Kluyveromyces lactis: one gene and its partner. The main gene of each other region encodes a partner of the protein of the gene in region 2 in a complex. Links are inferred from orthologs where the notes say so. Each region holds a gene or a part of one and is shown on either strand. Other genes may lie near its edges.

Evidence for each region.
Region 1: EGD2 (region 2) and EGD1 share a complex: the UniProt entries of both Saccharomyces cerevisiae proteins name them as parts of the nascent polypeptide-associated complex. The link is inferred for Kluyveromyces lactis from reciprocal best matches to the Saccharomyces cerevisiae genes EGD2 and EGD1.

The regions. Positions count from the first base shown.
Region 1 is NC_006040.1:1,014,270-1,020,883, forward strand, and holds EGD1 (Egd1p), read right to left. Parts: upstream 2,659-6,614; coding exon 2,182-2,658; downstream 1-2,181. Other genes in the region: KLLA0_D11880g (uncharacterized protein), read left to right, coding at 1-442; MET31 (Met31p), read left to right, coding at 1,004-1,873; SVL3 (Svl3p), read right to left, coding at 3,234-5,966. UniProt on the Saccharomyces cerevisiae protein: Component of the nascent polypeptide-associated complex (NAC), a dynamic component of the ribosomal exit tunnel, protecting the emerging polypeptides from interaction with other cytoplasmic proteins to ensure appropriate nascent protein targeting.
Region 2 is NC_006038.1:382,413-388,857, forward strand, and holds EGD2 (Egd2p), read left to right. Parts: upstream 1-3,938; coding exon 3,939-4,469; downstream 4,470-6,445. Other genes in the region: NVJ1 (Nvj1p), read right to left, coding at 264-1,103; MDM31 (Mdm31p), read right to left, coding at 1,435-3,228; LNP1 (Lnp1p), read right to left, coding at 4,551-5,384; CTF8 (Ctf8p), read left to right, coding at 5,667-6,068; MNS1 (mannosyl-oligosaccharide 1,2-alpha-mannosidase), read right to left, coding at 6,133-6,445. UniProt on the Saccharomyces cerevisiae protein: Component of the nascent polypeptide-associated complex (NAC), a dynamic component of the ribosomal exit tunnel, protecting the emerging polypeptides from interaction with other cytoplasmic proteins to ensure appropriate nascent protein targeting.

The DNA of each region.
Region 1 (6,614 bases), on a different chromosome or scaffold from region 2:
CGTACGGAAAGTCGTAGTCGCGTGTCTAGCCTTGACTTATCCACAGGGACACACAATGGCCAATACGGAAAAATCTATGCTGTTAGTGTCAAGCGCTGCCGGAGTATCCAACGAGCAGCTTCGGCACTGTTGTGAAATCGTAGGTCCCATTCTTAAATCTGAGTTTTTAAAGAAACAACGGCAGCAGTACCAAACTGCTCATGCACAAGCACAGACTGGAGCTAACGAATCCAATCATGCTTCCCAAAACAATACCGCTTCTATGCGGGGATCTATAGCAACAAGAACCACTGTGAACATCAGATCGACGGATTTTGGTACGTTTACCAATTGCTATACGAACCAAGACGACCAAGAAACTTACCTCACACCGTCGGACTACGAGTCATTCAACGAAATGGGTAAACAAATGGTAAATAGAACCTTCCTGGTCAAATTATGAGCTGGATAATGGTTTTTGTATATGCATTTTATGTATGTTGTTGCGACACAATCATTTCTCTTGAAGAGTAACGATGGACAATGCGCTCACGTGACCGCGCACGTGATATTCACTACTCATGCACACAGTAACGAAGCAAAAACTGTGGCGTCGGGCTGAAAAACGTATCAAAGGCTGTTGTTGATGTTAATTTGTATACAGAGAGACTGATAAAGCAACTTTGAATAGACTTAGCGAGAAGACTACAAAGGATACTTCCTGGACAAGAGTTTGGTCGGATCACTGGGTTTGATTTAAAACAATGCTGGAGATTTTTATTGACATAGTTTAAGCGGATTTTCATTCCTGTGAATTTAGGAAACGAACAGTCTTAAACAAACGTTGAAAAAGGAACAACCGGATACATTTCATAGAGTGCTCGCTCATCAAGTTAACGAAAGTATAACAGCGAAGTTTTGAGGTACTCTTTTGAGTTAGATTTGCAAACCACCGATAGAGAGAGTAAGAGAGGCAGGAGAGGTACGAACATAGAATTTTTGGTTTTTTTCTAATTAATAACCCATGAACGAAGATAGTATCTTTTTCCAGAAGGCAGCAGAGGCAATCATGGTAACTAGTTTGAATTCAGAGAAGGTTGATCCTACAATAAGAGAGTTGTTGAATAGAGTCAAATATGTTAGCACGCCTGCACCGCCATCACAACACCAGACAAATAATCTGCCGTTTTCCGCGTTAGGATCTGCTAGCAGTCAGTACGCATCATTGAATAAGAATCACCGGAACGACATCCCATATAACAACCATCCTCAGGGCCATAATAATATAGATGGTGTGGGACCTGCAGGGGTAATAGCTCCTGAAAATAAGACGATACTGAATTATTTCGATAAGCTTTTATCGAATCCTGTAAATTTCGCCAATCAAAATAACGATGGCACATCGCATTCCACTGGACACACTCCAGTGAACCATAATGGAATGACACCAAGTTTGTCGCATTCTAACGATACTTACCATCAACGTAGGGCTTCCACGGAATTGGAGAACAGGTCGAAGAAAAGGAAACTGCCATCAAAGAAAATATTATCGGGGTCTTCAGATACTGCCATTGTACCATATGACAGAGACAGCACAGATGGTAGTAATAACGCTGATTTAGACGATAAAAGATTTCCCTGCGAGAAGTGTCACATGGTATTCCGCCGCAGCAGTGATCTAAGGAGACATGAGAGACAACATCTACCGATTTTGCCAAATATCTGTACGCTCTGTGGTAAAGGGTTTGCAAGGAAAGATGCACTAAAGAGACATTTCGATACACAAACTTGTAAGAGAAACAGACAGAAACTACTCAGTATAGGAGGCGACATAAACGAGATACTCGAGAGGGCGCGACAAAGTGGTGCTACGATATATAGCGGTTCCAAGTGATAAAAAAACTAATAATAATTGTAATCTTTTTTTCGTTAACTATCGAATGACAGTCGAAAGATCTCATTAGTTTGAAGACTATGTAGCAAACCTTTACTGGAAACAATTCTAATAATCATAACTACTTTGCAATTATATAGAAACAATATATGAAGAGTAAAGAGTGAAGAGTGAAATGCTCACTATTCGTGTGCTTTGTAATTTGTTCCTGTTGAAAATTTCCTATTCTTTAGAATTTGATTCGAAGCTCGGGAAACGTGGAATTAATATAAGTGAGGGTACCATTGCCTGGCCTTTTAGTTGGTAATTTATTCGACGTCAGCTTCGAAAGTTTGACCTTCAACCAATTCAGGGATATCAATATCCTTACCTTCAGCTTCTGGAGCAGCAGCTTGTTGGTTGGCACCTTGAGCGGATTGCAATTGAGAAGCCATTTGGGTCAAAGCGTTGATAGCATCAGCACCCATTTGAGGAATGATGTCTGGGAACAACTCTTGCAAGGACTTTTCTTGTGGAATACCGTAGAACACGGAGGTGTTATGTTGTGGAGCAACTTGGACACCAACCTTGTTGAAGTGCAAGACGGTACCGTCATCCTTGAAGAAGTTAGCTTGTTGAACGTTATCAACAGTAACAGCTCTCAATTTCTGCAATTGGTCTTGCAACTTGGAGTCATCTTTGCTGGAAGAACCACTCTTCTTGGCAAACTTTCTTCTGGTACCACCGACCTTGTTGTTGGCTGACAACTTCTGCAACTTGGCTAATTTTTCTTGATCAATTGGCATTTTATTCCTTGGTTACTATCAATTAATGTTCTATTGGATCTCGAATTTCAATTGACTATAAATCACAATTACAAAATAAGACAACTATAATAAATAAACGAATCAATTCACAGTTTAAACCTAAAAGTTTGCCATCGAAACAGGTTTAACTTGATGTTCAATTCAAAAACTCTCTTCCAAATGCCAAATTTCAGATTTGGATTTCATGCCGTTCGTTGACGAGAAAAAAATTTCGTGCTGTTACCCGGGGATAAGTTTTTTTGCTAAATGACAGTCAATGGTTATATACCTGCAGTGTATATGTCTATGGATGTAGGTTGTTCATGAAGCGTACTGGGTTTGAGTTCATGGCATCGAGTTTATGACACAGTATCTTGTATACGTGAAGGTCTTAATTGATTGTAATATAGGCGACATAATACATACGTAGTTACAATGTGTTTTATTTTTATACAAGAATGGTTTCATGTGGATATGTGAGTTCTGGTCTGGTGCTTATGGCCTCCAAGTCTTGACAAATATGAAAAACATCGGACTATGAATTGATGCAACCGCATATCTTGTATGAGAAAAGATCATTTCTTTTTAGAATGAAAGAAGGAGAACTTGGACTTCTTTAATTCATTTGATTTCTGATTTTGTTCGTTATTAGAATCTGATGGTAGTTTGTCCTGTGGTTCCACTGGGGAAAGGTTTGTTTTCGACGAAGATGGTGGATTGGTTGATGATATATCAGATTCTAATGGTGGAGGAGATGTTGAATGGGAATTAGAGTTTGAGAAGGAATTAGAGTTGGAAGTTGAGGTTAGATTTACATTTGAATTTGGGTTTGAATTAGAATTCGATCCAAACTGCTGTTCCTGCTGCTGTTGTTGGAAAGCATTTGGAGGTCTTTGAATCACAGAGGCAGTAGACTCACCCTCGTCGAGCATTGTACTGGTACTGATTTGTCTCATCCCGTTTGGAACCGGTTGGTACTGTTGTTGTGGTTGTGTTGGCAAATTTGATAGTTGGCCTTGTGAACCAGTTCTCATTGGATTAGGGTTACCGTTCAGTCTTGGCATGGAACCATTATGGTAATTCATGGAAAGTGGAGGGAGGTTACCAGACAGAGAATTGAACCTCTGTTGACCAGTTGGTGCTTGTGGCATGTTGAAATCGCTTAGCATCGTATTTGATGGATTTCTTAACATTGGCATATTACTGCGCCTATTCTTCCTGCTTGTTTTTTGGAATGTTTTAGGTCCAAACCCATTAGATCCCATTGGTGCTGCCCCATCTAACATATTTTGTGATATTCCAAACCCGTTCATTGGTCTTTGTCCACCTCCGTTGATTCCAACAACGGACCCAGAGTAGCCTCCTACGCCCGGCATTCCTGGGAGACCTACACTTGAATGCTGACGATGCTGTTGAGGAACTTGCTGCAGTGGTTGTTGTTGTACATGAGGAGCCATGTATTGACCTGGAATTCCTTGAGGTGGTTTCCCCATATATGATTGTCCATGTAATTTCCTATTTTGCATTTGATTTGAATATTGTGATGGATTCTCGTTCGGTGACATACCGTTTTTGCTCTGCGCATGAGCATATTTTTGATTCAACATCGTTTTAGACTGTTTCTTTTGCAACTGTAGTTCCCTTTCCTGTAATTCTAGTTCTCTTCTGCGTAATTTCAGTTCTCTTTCTCTTAATGCATGTTCATCCGCTGACAACGGAGCTGATGACGGTGGTGTTGCAGCAGATGCAGCCGCAGATGCTCCTGCCACAGCAGCATTCGTTGATGCTGGGTTTTCGCCATTGATGCCGAGGGAGTCCTGCACTGGAGATTCGGCATATGGAATGGCGTAAACAGCCATATCCTCGATGTCGCGCAGTACAGGAGTTCCTGTCTCAGTGTATTGTTGCTCAGGCACTTGACTTGTTGGTTCAACCGGAGTCCGTGGTTCCGATAGAGGCTGAGATTGAGATTGAGTTTGACTTTGGTTTTGACTTTGCAGTTGTCTTAATGTCGAAAGTTCAGATTGTATAGCGATCAATTCGCGTCTCAAAGATGAATTTTGAGATTGTTCTCGTTGTAATTGATCTCCCAACATCGAAATTTGGCTGTCTCTAGAGTTTATTTCGTTCTGATAAGCCTCCTTCGATTCGTTGAGCTTTAGGTTGAATTCCGTTTCTTTATCCTTAAGAGTCCCCTTGAGCAACGATAGTTGACCGAGTTCATCTCTTAACTTGGATACTTTATCAGATCTTGTAAACAATTTAGATTCATCATTGTTCAATTTCTTGAATTGACACATCATAGAGTATAAGAACTCCAAATAGGGTGTCTTTATCGTAAAATCATCCGCCAGTAAGATCGGTTGTAGCAATAACAAATCTATATCTAGTGGTGCAGATCTATGTTCGAAATGGTACAACAACGAGGGGTAGTTGTTTTCACCATTATCCGCGACCCATCTTTCCAAAAGATCGCTTTCTGTATCGTAACCGGAAGGCAATCTAGCACCCATGGTTCTAGTCAACGTGATTATCTCAGTAACGAGACCCGAGATCAAAGGCTTGGCCAAGATTTGTTGATGTAATCGCTTTGGAACAAACTCTTCGAAAAGAACCAATAGTGGATCGAAACATACCCTTGGGATAGCCAACTTCCATTGCTGTGTCAAGAAATCTAACGGTGAAAAATTGCAAGTATCTATGGCATCGTCGGGGAACAATTTCAAGAATAGTGAATGGAACGTAGTTAACAAACTAGAAATCTGTTTTGGGTATGAGTTTGAAGCCGATTGGGTCTTCAAAGACCCTGTCTCACCAATGAAAATCGTTTGCTTCTTGGACTTATTACCACCGTTGAATTGAACGTACCGGTTTGATGCCACAGCCCTGATGTCATAATCCGATATCAATGAGAAAACTTTCACTTGCGGAGAGGATACCGACATCCTGATGAACGGTTCCAACTGTACAAAACCCGAACTCTCTACAAAAATCTTGGTATTGTTCATGATAACCGAATTCAACTGCGTTGTGATGCTCGAGATCTCTTGCAACGACGAAGCAGACAAGATCACAAGATCGAATTTCTCCGAATCTGTCTCCAAGCTCAGTTTCAACTCATTAAACCCATTGAAATGTTTCTGCAACCGGAACGTATCGGTTCCATACGATTGCGTCTCGATGCTGAACTCATTACTTTTCGAATCACTCACATGGTATAAGTCAACAGATTTCGCAAATTGAAACCTCCAAGCGTACAACGCCAGGTTAGGATGGTTCCCATATATTAGAACCTTCAATTGTGACATAATTCCCTGTGTCGCTGGCTCCTTTTCAACAATCCAAACAGCAGAAGCGTTGTTTTGATTATTATGCTATGTTGTGACTTGTACTGGGAAAGGAATGAATATCCAGAATCCGAAAACTAAAAATGGAAAAAAGATGCTGATAAACTCTCTTTACTTCCGGCAAACTTCAATCAAACCAGAACCAGAACCAGAACCAGTACCACTCCTAATGTGTAGTTCCTGTCTTGCTGATATTCACAAAATGCCGGTTCAATCAACTTATTAACGTTTTAGAAGAATTCTTTCTAACGTTTTAGTCTCTAAATTCTTTAACAGAAATAAAACTCGTTGAACAAATTCTTATTGCTTTCTCACGGTGGAAATATACTGGAAGAAAAAATTATTCAATTTGTATACTGGCTGTGGGTTAACGTTATTGGGAGGCAGGCTGTACAGTAGATAGGCTAAGGGTCTCTATATATCTAGGTAGTGAGCTAGCTAGCTACCTAGCTAGCTATGGGTCAAGTAGTCTTAGAATACTTGCTTGGGAACAACTTTAGAAGAACCACGGACAATCAGCTTCTGTGAAATGAAGAAAAACTGATACTATTGAAAGAGGGATATCTAACGACATTGTTACTCTCACTTTCTCACTTTGTCCAACTCTCT
Region 2 (6,445 bases):
AATGTTTACTTCTTGATCTGCTTGAAACATGCGATGAGCACTTCAAAGAAATTATCAGATTTGGTGATCATTTTGAACGGAAGTTGTGTAGTTCAAGAAAACATTTCAAATCACGTGACCAAGGTAGTTGGTTCCGTCCGTCTCAGTATATATACAAATTGATGCAACTTCTATTATGGTAGATTATGCGCTGTAGTCTAGTGTGTAACTATTTATGTTGTACAAGTATTCATGTGGATCGTCCTGAATCATTTGGTTTTACATTAGAATTTGAACGGCTCTGCGTTGGCCTGTTCGCTGGAAACTTGTGTGGTGTTTATTGTAGGTTTTGATGGTGAAATACTCAACGGTATTAGCATACCACCTGGCAATTTGCTTGCAGTGGACTCTACAATTGATGTGTCCTTGAACTTCTGTGGCGTTTCTGTTAATTTAAGGATATTTGAATGCATGTTTCGAAGATCATCATCTTTGAAAGTATTTGAAGGCAACGGAGGTGATGGCATTGGGCTTGGAGTGCGTGTTCCGTTCAAACTACCTCGTATCACTTCTTCGGTACTTTGATCAGGTAACTCCATATCACTGCTATTGTCTTCGAAATTGAACCCATATCTGAATACTATTGGTTCTGATTTGTTTCGTTGGAATTGTAGTAAAGCTCGTTGCTCTGCAGGGAAATGATGCGATGGCTTGGTACTCACTTCATCGCCCGTTACTTCTGTGTTCAGTTCGATATTCGTAGTATCAAAGTCTTTGGTATTTTTAGCAGATAACAAGTACGCGGCACTCTTCATTATCTTATATATCAGGAACGGGACAGTAATGAGTATAATCATCAAAATTATAGGATCCTTATTCTTGACTTTATACTCTATAACCTCATACAGAGTAATCCATTCCAACTCTTTAACAGGCCTAGTGAGAGCGTTGGGACATGAAATGGAGCATATATCCTCAATTAAATGTGGATCCATGTCGGCTACTTTATCCATAATTGGTTTGTTAGGGGTTTTTACTAAATTGCCAATAGATTGGAAAAGCTCACCAAAATTGATTCTGGCTTGCTCCAACCAGCCCCTATGAGCCATTGATTCAGGTACCATCTTCTGGTAAATGGTGTCGGGATGTTCAATTCCTTAGTATGCGTGCTTTATCTTTTCCCTAAACTATCTTTTCCTTCCATAGATATGTGAAGACTTGCCAATTTATCAATAACTTTTCCAGATTTACTTGTACTTGAATTTTGGTTATACATACATGGTAAAAGTTGATAACCAATCAATACAGTATGGCTAAATGATTTCCAGTAGCCCTCGATGAGACGTCTTTTAGTCCTAAAACTCATTAAAACATTCATTAAAGCACAGAGAAGTCTGGACACCAGGATAGGTGTCCGTGCATATACGGACAATCTACATACTAAAAGTTTAATATCTATGCAATGGCTCCCAAACTCATTAATATCACCTGAATTATCAGTTGTAGGGACCAGAACCCAACACGTTTCATCCTCAAGTTGATTCTTTCATCATCTGCTACGTAGTTTGCAAATGCATCATAAACTTCTGCACTTAAATCGTCCATTAATCTGCTGTCATATATGGTCCACGATCCTGCAAAATCATTTAGATTCTTGACTACGCGACATCTGATCGGAATATATGTCCTCCTTGAGTTGATATATCCGACGATAGGTCTAATCAAAGCATTATTGATGTACGACAAGCCAGGAGTGAATAGCGGAACTTCTGCCTTGACATTATGTAAACGTAGCAAAAAATCCATTATGAAATATTGCTTCACATCAATATCCTTTTGCTCTTCGAAATTCCCTGGAATGAACCCAGAGTGACGGCGAGTTTCTTTCACAATACGGTCCCTAACCACTGTCAATATTTCAGAAAGTTGCGATGGGTCAATATCATTTTCTGGTAGCAACAAATCACCGATCATATCAACGTGACCGCTAGTAATCCATCCGAAAGGACCCTCAATGCCAGCATTCAAATGATCAATATTAAGATTATCAACTCTCATCCTTGTGACTTTGTGCCAAGGTGATGAACTGGAGGACTCCTCATCAGTATCACGTTGTTTGAATTTTTTGTGAATGGTGAACATTGAATTGTCATAAGCGCCACTGATATTATCAGCGTTTAAGAAATCAAAGAAAAGCCAATGTTTCCTCAATTGAGGGAGCTCACAGTTGAATACACTGACCAGAAATGGCCTAAACCCGCCTGGCTGGTATAATGTGAACAAAACATCGTTCATGACAAACTTTGAGATTTCGAAATCACCAGGTTGATGAACGTTTAAATAGTTCCTAGCGTCATCATTTTCTTTCCAAAAAACGTGAGTTCTGTCAACAACACCACGTAGCCCATTAATAGTGACTTCATCTAGAAATCCTTTCCCGTTTATCCATTTACTTAAGGAAACCGAAATCTCGACTTGATCCATTGTCAAATCGAATTGTGTGTAGTTACCATCATCAAAATCCTCTCTACTCACCAATAATCGCTCACTTAATGCTAATTTTGCCCTCTCAACAGCTTCATGTTGAGAACCTTTGCTGAACCCATGGGGAAGCTTAGGTCTTCTAGATACGAACACTCTATTGAATGAAATTTTTCCTGAAGACCAGTCAGGAACAATTGCACTTTCAAACACTACCGATAAAGCACTGTTCTTTGTTAGAAAATTACCGACTTTAGTAGCCAAATACTCTTGTGCAAATACCGTATTCATCAAGTAGATGGCCAATGATAGAAATGAGGTGGTGAATAGAAATATGAGAAGCATATTACTAACAAGAACCCAACTAACAAATGCACTAATATCATCTGTATTGAACGGCCTCATCGATCTGGTCAAAGTCCATTTGAGGTTAATTTTTAAGCGCTGGAGTATATTTGTTGCCTGTGCAAGTAATCTATCGCGTTCGGTGATGAATCTAAATGTTGGTTGTTGCTGCTTCGTATGTTTCCTAGCAGGTTGCTGGATTTCCGATTCTTTGCCCTTTTCATTGCTCTCTGAATAGTGTCGTAGCCCTCCTGTGAAAGCGAAGACATCTCTTTTAGGATTCACGTTCGGCTTCCATGACTTAATATGAAAGTAATTCGAATAACATCGTCTTAGAACTACAGGTCTGTAAATGGTAGATGAAAGGATGGGCCTTGAACCTGATCTTGCAGCCGTTACCCAAGATAATGAATGTCGAAACATTGATCTGCCATTCAAATTCGGATGGGCTGATGATTGTGTTAATAAATGGAACAGCGGCAGGTTATTGTTTTACCCTGATATGCATCTCAAACTGTCAGTATGTGTAATATCGAATAATTCATACCTGTCTTCAACGTTTATTTCTAATTGCGGGTTAATGTACGGGAAAACCTGTTAAATAAAAAAAAAAAGAAAATAGAGAACGAGCATGTTGTGGCACATTTGAGATATTTATACTGTAGGTCTCCTCAGTTTGAGATCAACTTGAAGGTCATTCAAGCTTTTATCTGTTTGAGGAGGTCCTGGGACACAAATGAGAAAACAGCACAATAACCATTCAGTAAAATACGAGTGACAAGCGACTTACCGTTGAGCTAAGTTGTCAACCATGACTTTCAACGAAAGTTGCTGCTTTAGCTCAGTTGGGAGAGCGTATGACTGAAGTTCATAAGGTCCTGTGTTCGATCCACAGAAGCAGCATTTCGATTTATTTTTATTGTCCTTTTTGTTGTCCACGTGACAACTATTCGCATGTATTCCCGTTCTAAAGAAAAAAGTCAATTTGTCGATGAAGAAAATCTTGAAATTTCGTTGAACAAAGTTTTATTCTCTCTCTCTTCCAAAAGTTCTTTATGTGTTGAGGTAATTAAAGAGCTTTCATCTCCTCAGATCAACCCAATTAACTCAATTGAACCATCATAACTAACATAATGTCTGAAATTGCCCAAGACTCCAACGTTTCCATTTTTTCCAAAAATGAAAAGAAGGCCAGAGAATTGATCCTAAAGTTGGGATTGAAGCCAATCCAAGGTGTTTCTAGAGTCACTTTCAAGAAGAAGGATGGTCAAATCTTTGCTATCGACAGACCAGAAGTTTACAAGTCTCAAGGTGGTAACTTTGTTGTTTTCGGTGAAGCCAAGGTTGATGATTTCACTCAAAGATTAGCCAAGGCTCAAGAATCTCTTCAACAAAATGAAGGTGTTTTGCCAGCTGGTCAAGATGCTGTTTCTAAGGACCCACAGTCCATCCAAGCGGACATGCAAGCTGCTGCTGACTCCGCCACTGACAAGCCTTCTGCTGACGACGCTGTAGATGATGCTGAAGTCGATGAAACTGGTTTGAACGCTGACGACATTGAATTGGTCATGCAACAAGCCGGCGTCCCAAGAGCTAAGGCTGCTAAGGCTTTGAAGGAGCACGACTCTGACATCGTCAACGCTATCATGGCCTTGTCTGGTTAAAAAGCACAGGAATAGTAGATAACTAGATAATTCATTTTTACTTGTATACTTATCTACTGCAAACTCGTATCAGATCCTATTTCATTTCTCTTCTAGTTCTGGAACTTCATGAAGTGTGTCAGAGGCCTCGCTTTTGCTACTAGCTGGTGCGGCTGTGTTCGAGGGCTTTGTAGCTAGTTTGGATCCGCAATTGGAACACACGTATTGGAACGGTACACCAGCTACTGAGTAGCAGCCAAAGGACATTTTACATTGTGAACAAACTATTAACGATATTGATGGTTGTAATGTTTTTATGTCATCACCACCTGCTAGTATACCTAGGGCTTTATCGAACCATTTCTCACGTGCTTCAACATCTTGAGTCTTCTGTTTCTCATTTGTGCGCAATTGTTCCAATTCCATCTTAAGCTTCTCTAGTTGTTCATGCTTCGCTTTCACTTCATCGTCCATTAGTAACATTAAATCATCAGATCCACTTTCACCGCTGGAGTACCGTTGAATTAGTGAGTTAGTGTGATAGAAATTCGTTTTCTGTTTCAATTCCTCCATCTTCTCTTGATGTAAGGATATTAATGCTGAGAGCCTCGACTCATATTTTTTATTGAGCATGAGATAGAATCTTGTTATGGCAAGCCTTATGCATATTAGTAAAGCTAGTGCTACAATGCTGCATAAGATAGCACGCGAAGATGAATACTTCAAATAAACATATGCAATTATGCAAACCAATAACGTCAAATAATAATAAGTTACTGTTGCACGTAAACTTTTGGCTCTATCTTCGATTCCCTTCAATTTCGTTTCGTAGTCATGTATCTTATTCGTTATGGAAGATAAGTCTTTGTTATACCTTTGAACTAACTTCTTAACATCATTATCGCCACTTACAATCTTTCGTACGGCGCTCAACATGTTAAGGTATCAATATCTACTTCCCTTTGATGTCCGATCTCGAGAAACCCTTTATTTTAGGTAGTCCATTTTTTTTTACATAGTTGTTTGTAGGCTATAATGATCCTTTAAATATCAAATCCATGTTATTTCTAAATCATATTGACGAAAAATTATTGAAATTGAAGAATTCGGGAACAGACGATGGAATGACGCCAAAACAAGTCAGTTTGGGTTTCTTAAAACCTTATATATCCATACAAATATCGCTTGGATACTGCCTTTGCACCCAAACTTCTAGTTATGCCAAGTGTGGATATTTCCGTTAATCAATTGATAGATATATTCGCGGAAGATCGCGATACACCACCGACAGTAAGTACATCCTTAGGTCATGTCATGATAGAAATTCAAGGAGACTTGCAACATCCACAGAAGTCAATTGATCCTGCATTGGATGTGGACTCAAGGTTTATAGAGCATGAAGGAAATGGATTGGTACGATTTGGCATATTATCCTACGATCTGGAAACAAAACACGTTACGCTCTTTATTGGGAACAAACAAAGACTTATGGGTTCCATTGTAAAAATTGAGCCACCATTGGGACTCTTGAAATTTGACAAAGCTGATGGAACTGTTAGCCTGCGAGACGTACTCAAATATAAGATAATATTCAAGAATAGACCGCTTCCGATTATGTAGAAATAAAGACTTCTTAAGAACGTATTCTCTAACTATAAACAATGCATAAGGAGGATGATTTGGATTATAATTTCCAACCTGTGGTTAAGTTTAACTCATTGAGTCTTGATTGATTAAATACAGGGAATGGATGGGCCTCAGTATTAAATACAATCTTGCTTAGCTCAACATCATCGTCGAACAAAAGGTAAAGATATTTCAAAGTCTCTGCTAGCCAGAAACTCTCAAGATTGTCAGCTTTGTCTGTTGGTAATGAAATAACATTATGCAACGAAGTGTATGCGACCTTTTCTTCGCCATCCGCCGCGACTTTAATGACTTTAGTATGCTTGATGAAATTGCTAAAGATTTCCCATCCCCAGTGTCTATATTGTTCA